Linked DNA regions of Nothobranchius furzeri. The protein of the gene in region 1 binds, or shares a complex with, the protein of each later gene. Links are inferred from orthologs where the notes say so. Each region holds a gene or a part of one and is shown in the gene's direction. Other genes may lie near its edges.

Region 1 (2,584 bases):
GATTTACCGTCATTTGGGCGAGTGAGAGAGTCCTTTCCAGTTCGTTACCACATTGAGAACAGAACAGCCCTGGTGCAGGAGGTAGAGATCGCTGTGGAACCATCTGATGCCTTCATGTTCTCTGGACTCAAACAGGTGAAGTCAGGATCAGTCCAACAAATGTTACGGACCTTTAGATTTTCTTTTTGTACTTTCCTGATACCTGGCTTCCAGTGCTGGTACCTGGACGATACTTTTTCTGGTACCTATATTGAGTCTAATTTTGATAGAAAAGAGTATTTAAAGCTACAAATTTGTAAAGTAGGCTAGCTTAAAAAATTTTCTTTTATGCCTCTAAACTGTGTGTGTGTGTGTGTGTGTGTGTGTGTGTGTGTGTGTGTGTGTGTGTGTGTGTGTGTGTGTGTGTGTGTGTGTGTGTGTGTTTATTTTATGTCGGTTCACTAACAAAATGTGCAGCTGTGTTTACAGAAGCATGTGTCTTTGGGGCTGCCTTTCAGCAGAGGCTTACAGCTTTGCTTTGTCATAAAGTAGTCCCAAGTCTAAAATGGCGTCTGTGATTCCTTCATGTTACTAATTATTTTCACTTACATTCAGTCTGATTATTCAGGTCACCAAGCAGAAATGGGATCACTTCTGACTGAGCGATCAGGACTTTTTTTTACTCACTTTGCTAGTTGGATCCATTCACATAGTCTGTTTTATGCTAAGCTAAAGGAGTACAGCTGTGTCAGGAGAATAAAGTTATTATTTCACACTTGTCTAACTCGGAAATATCAACATTCAAATTTTCAAAGTTGGGTGGAATATCTCTTTGTCTTTCATTCAGAAAAAGGATGCATTTGCTTCCTCTTTGACATTATTTTTTAATCTCCACAAAATATTTATTGTTATACTATGTGAGAATGTTGTTAAGAGGATTGAAAAAACTGTTTTAAGCTAGCTTGTTTTGCAGATTTGCCATTGTAGCTTTAAAGTTGACACATTTTCCTGTCAAGTTTTTCTTTATAAATCACAAAGTTAGCATAAAAAATAACTTGCAGTTTTCAGACCCTGTTTTGTGCACAAGCAAGCTTTCTAAATGAGGCCTGTGATGTTTTCTGATCCTCAGGTGCGTCTGCGTATCCTCCCTGGGACCCAGCAGCAGATGCTGTATAATTATTACCCCCTGATGGCGGGTTACCAAACACTCCCACAGCTGAACGTCTGCCTGCCGCGCTGCCCTGACTCTAACAGCCTCGCTCTCAGACGCTTCTTGCCTCAGCACATCTTTGTAAAGGTAACGGCTCTGGGTGGATGCACATGATAGACGGAATACAAGACTAATTTTTTTTTACTAAAGCTGGATTTGTTTGTGTTCAGCCTCAGGGTCGACAGCTGGACGACACTTCCATCGCTGCAGCGTGAGGAGAAATAAAATGTATCTGCTAAAACAATGAGCGCAGCGTGGTGTATGTTCATAATTACCCTAACTGTCTACATTTCTGTAAAAATGCATCATGTTCTGACATGACATTTTAGTCACAATGATTACAGGTGATCACATAAAATGACCAGCAGCTTGTAAATGACCTGATTCAGCTGTGAAGAGCCGATGGTGTGATGAAGTCAGTAAAGCTGACGCATCCTGCAGGTCATCAAACTGTCTTTTTCTAAATCAGACTGTTGCATTGCAGGATGAGACATGGGTCATTTACTTTTACTGAAAAATGTGAGTGTTTTACCAACAAACACACTAACATGTCCAACGGTGCTGTTCGATTGCTGCTTTTTACTCTGGTTATCTTCAAGCAAACTTGTTCAAAAATGAATCTTTTTTTGCATGTGTGATCATTTTTTGTGTTTTACAATGACATAGGTTAGGATCGTGTATGGAAATAATTGCTGTGAATACTGAACAGAATATCATTCACTATCCAATCATCATGAATCATTACACATGTAACATACAGAACAAAAACATTTAGACAGGTTGTTTTTCACTCTGAAAATACTGCTAATTATTTTATTTGCCTTTTTTTAAAGTGAATGTTTCTCTCTGCTAGGTGTGTAAATAAACTAAAACATTAAAATAAATTCAAATTTTATGGCACTTGGTCAAACTTTCTTTAAAACTAAGCCGGAACGGTCGAGAGCGCTGTTTGTGTTTAGAACATAGACTGTTTACAACCAGCTGTATTCAGACCGGCAGCTGATGGACCAATCAGGAGCAGCTATACTCAGACGTGCATAACCTTTGGACCAATCTGGAGTAGCTGTTTCAGACTGACAGCCAATGGATCAATCAGGAGCAGCTAAATTTCACCGGAAGACGTGTCGTTTGAATCAGGATATCGCGATATTTCACGGACGGACGGAAACGGAATTCAAAACTAGGCGCTCCAACCGGCGACATCTGCGTAAAACGGTACAGAAACTCGATTTATCTTTGTCACGTACTTGTTACACATCAACGAAACCATCTTTGTACCCGTTTGCTCAGAGGCACTTACTAGTTTAAAGCCGCGGGTGTTTGATGTTAACCAAACTGAATTAGCTTATGTTAAACCGGAGCCGCTTGATCTGCCATCTTTAACTCCGGCCGTTT
Region 2 (4,197 bases), on another chromosome or scaffold:
AGTGATCTGTATTCTTCAGTTGATTCCAAACTCCATGCATGGTGTTCTTATTGGGGGAAAGCATTTAGGTGACTGTGTCTGACTAGAAAAGCACCTGAAACTAGAAAAACATTCATGTGTTCACCTGACTCTAGTAGGTTTGGGTCATATCTAATTTTCTCTGGTAATACATATCATAATATGTTGGATTAAACAAACTAAGTGTTTTATTGAGATGTGTCATCATACTGCAACGCACATAGTTTATTAGGGAAAGGAGAAATGTGCAGAGGGTTTGTGCAGAAATTGATACTACAATCAAACACAATGAAAGATAAAATATGCTCATTTTCCACAAGTACTTCTCTGCACAATATTTCTTATTTTATTTATTATATGCTCTGTTTGATTGTGCAAATTATTTACATTCATTATATGTTGATTTTATACTCTTGAGTTTTATTGGCGGGAAAAGAAGTAATCCTTCCATTGTACAGGAATACATGATTCCTTAATGTGCATATGAAAAAAAACTTTTAATTAATTTCAAGTTAAATGTTTACACAAATACATGCCACTAAATGCAAGCTGTACTTATGTTAAAAGTCAAATAATAATTTTACTGGTTCTAGATTGATTTCATCAAGCAATCTCTGTATTTTATGGATTTGAATATTAGGCCAGTCTTAGTTTATACAAAGACATTGTGTTCTATGTGGAGTTTTTATTAGGTTGTAATCAATAACCATCAATAATGATGACTGGTTTATATTATGTGCTGGTGAACAAAACTAAAATGAAAAAGGTGTACTACATGTGAATACACATACCAATAAAGTTTCAACGAAGGTATAGAACGTGTGCTTGAGATCAAACTGTATATGTTTAGAAGTGAACAAGTGTTCTTACCTGGTTGTCAAATTTAAGTGACTGTGTCCCCACGAGAAAGCGGATAGCATCAGTCTCAGCTGTTTGGGCAGTAAGTGCACGTGCCTGCAGAAAAACAAAACGTGACAGGAACATATTTAAATAATGAACCGCAGAAGAGAGCATAGCTGAGGAGAGTAATGAATGGAGTAACAAGAGAGGACTCCACAGCCTACCTGGAACTCCAGACCATAAATGACAGGAGCGTCGTCTTCCATTCTTCACTTTGTTTCAGCCTTCAGTTCTATCCTTTAAAATTAAAATAAAAAAATAAATAAAACACCCCGAAACCCTTTAAGTTGCTGTTTTTGTGAAACGTAGTAGTGTTAAAAACAAGAAACAGTAGCATCACTTCCGCGATTTAAAAAAATGCAAGAGAAAAGAACGTACACTCTGGTTGAAATACGTAACAGCGGATTTGAAACGTAAGGATGGGTTTGAAATTTACGTAAAAGGCCGTGAAGAATACCATATAGTCACATCCGGGCAATTGTACACTGTTTCCCTACGCGGCGCATGCGCATTGCTTTTTTGTTCGTCCAGCTGCAGTAAGGTAAGAGATTAGCGATTTTTAATGTTTGTATTTCTTCTTAAAATGTGTTGTTTGTTCTATTTTGACTATACGTGTGACGTGTCCCATTCGTTTTGAATTATTAGTAGTTATTTTTGTAGTGTGACAGCTGCTATTTTACGCCCTGTAACGCCACACAGCTACGTAGCATTAGCATCATAGCCTCCTAGCATCAAATAGCAGTCCTGAGCAACATAGCTTCATCTATGTCGCGTGAAATAGTAAAAATATTCAAACTCACCTTATCGCTGTAGCTGTGATACAATGTTAACGGTGCATGCGTGTAATTACAGGTGTTTGAAAGTAGTGACAGGAAGGGGATGCGTCCAACTTCCTGAAAATATGAAGCGCAATAAACAAAACGCAATTTTAACGATTTCATATCCAGACTTTGCGTATTCTAGTCAGGTAAACTGCCACTGCTCAAGTTATTCAGCAGACAGATACACACAGTTGAACGTTGCTGTCTAAGAAGGGAAAAAATAAGTGTTTTTATGTTATACGAGTTTATTCTAATCACATCCTCCCCTCAGTTAGTTTATTCAGAGTCACTCCTCACAACCACTATCAGAAACTTCAGACAGATTTCGAACATAGTAGACTGAATCAAGCAGTAACCAAAGTACACTTGAACATCATTTGTTGAAAAATAGAACACAATGCTGACCCTCAACCCAGAAATCAGTGTTTTGGAGATTCCAAATAAAACAATTCATCACTGACCTAACACATTTGTTGTTTTCTTTCATAAGCAGTAAGATGGATACAGGGGAGGGTAATGCCCAGCGGCCTATTACTTTGGGCATTACAGTGGAAGACTTCAGCAATGAAGCTTCTGTCCCGGAGACAGATACAACTAACACCATCCAGACCCCTCCCAAAGATGACATCCTGCTCCAACAGGACAGCATTGACCTGGGTGCAGGGGAATTCGTCACTCCACAAGAGGACAGCAGTGCCACACTTTCTGAGAGCCTGATGGATAGACTCAATGACCAGATGATGGAGAGTGTCATGATCTCTGACTCGCCCAATAACAGTGAGGAGGATGATGTGGGTCCTATTGACTCCTTCCTGGATGGTGGGCTGGAGGAGAATGGATCCTCAGGGAACAAAAAGGAAGAAAGTGAAATTGGACAGAATACAACTGAGATTAAAGTGCCAGTGGATCAAAAGGAGCAAGAATGTACCAAAGACGACATAAAAGAAGAGATTGACATAGAAGAGCAAATTCAAATAGTGGTTTCACCTCAGAGTGAAGCACATAGTCCTGTTGTTATCAAGAGTGAGGATCCAGAACATCAGTCACCCAAAGGGACTAGTCCTAAAGATGAGCCTGTGCCAGTGTGCACCATATTTAGCCAGGGCACACAGCCAAAGTCCCTGGCACCTGATGGCTTTCAGCCTACTCTGATCAAGTCCCCTAGTTTTACCACGGGGAGTGGTGGAGGCAGTGATGAAGCAGTGACTCCCAGTAAGATGACTGCCCCGCTGGTGTGCCAGCCCAGCCCAAGTCTTAGTAAGTTCTTTACTGATAACGGACAGGCCAATCCAGCCTCTGACTTCTTTGATTCCTTTACTGCCCCATCTTCCTTCATTTCCATCTCAAACCCTAACGCAGATGTGTCTCCCGCTTCCACCCCTGCACCCTTAAGCTTCACACCCGAGCACCAGCGCTCTTCTACTTCCTCCTCAATTTCCACCCCAGGAGGACTTTTGGACTCCGGAGCTCCTACGCCTGTCTCAGTGTTTGGCCCCACTGTCACTGAACCAACCACCAAGCCCCAATCTCCTATATCCCAAACTGTCCCATCTCTAAATCTCGCTAGTTCAACTCCTCAAGCACAGCCCTTTAACCAGCTCCAGGCTGTATTCTCGGGCACCGATGACCCATTTGCAACAGCACTGAGCTTAAGTGAGGTGGACAGGCGTCATGATGCCTGGCTGCCATGCGAGGAGACGAGGAAGATGTTAATCTCTGTTGCCACCCAGCAGTACGGCCCAGCATACGTAGACACCAACAGACTCACAATGCCTGGATTAAAGTTTGACAACCTGCAGGTAGGACTATCCCCAAGACAGCATGCAGTAATTTTACATGTTGCAAAAGGCCAGAGTGGCATGTTTGTCTGAAGAAACTCCTGAAATTTCACACGTCATCACATAAACCCTCTCTGTACCACCTTAAACAGCCACACACATCTGCCATAACAATCTGTTATCGTTTAAGTTGAATCAGTTGACTTTTTTGTCCAGTACAGTCTTTGGGGGCTGCTGAGAATGATCTTTATTTTCCCCTCACAATATGTTTGAATGCTTGTCTGAATAAATGAATAAAAATCAAGGTTTTTACTCAGTGAATTAGATCTATTTTACAGCTTTATTAAAAAAATATTCAGCAGTCTGCAGTTTTTGCTTTTTCCTCTTACAGCAAGATATTGTTTTTATTGATTTCCATTTTATATAATTTTATTCCTCCACTTTCATCTTCCCTTCAAAAGCTTGTTTTTACTTGATCTATTGACGTAAACATCTGTAGTTTGCTCTCAGGCTAACCCTGGTGTACAAATGTCAGCGTTCTTCAGTGTATGCTGCAGCTTTTTTACAACCCATGTTAAATATGTGATTTGATGCAGGGGGATGCTGTGAAAGACCTAATGGTTCGTTTCCTGGGAGAGCAGGCAGCCATGAAGCGCCAGGTTCTCACCGCCAGCTCAGTG

The links.
Region 2: trappc11 (region 1) and trappc12 share a complex: the UniProt entries of both Homo sapiens proteins name them as parts of the multisubunit TRAPP (transport protein particle) complex. The link is inferred for Nothobranchius furzeri from reciprocal best matches to the Homo sapiens genes TRAPPC11 and TRAPPC12.

What each region holds. Positions count from the first base shown.
Region 1 is NC_091741.1:109,667,483-109,670,066, forward strand, and holds the end of trappc11 (trafficking protein particle complex subunit 11), read left to right. Parts: intron 1-1; coding exon 2-135; intron 136-1,108; coding exon 1,109-1,276; intron 1,277-1,359; coding exon 1,360-1,404; 3' UTR 1,405-2,084; downstream 2,085-2,584. Other genes in the region: spdl1 (protein Spindly), read left to right, coding at 2,273-2,404. UniProt on the Homo sapiens protein: Involved in endoplasmic reticulum to Golgi apparatus trafficking at a very early stage.
Region 2 is NC_091758.1:44,404,831-44,409,027, forward strand, and holds the start of trappc12 (trafficking protein particle complex subunit 12), read left to right. Parts: upstream 1-1,397; 5' UTR 1,398-1,459; intron 1,460-1,718; exon of another isoform or gene 1,719-1,872; intron 1,873-2,229; 5' UTR 2,230-2,236; coding exon 2,237-3,538; intron 3,539-4,113; coding exon 4,114-4,197. Other genes in the region: eipr1 (EARP-interacting protein homolog), read right to left, coding at 889-972, 1,083-1,124. UniProt on the Homo sapiens protein: Component of the TRAPP complex, which is involved in endoplasmic reticulum to Golgi apparatus trafficking at a very early stage.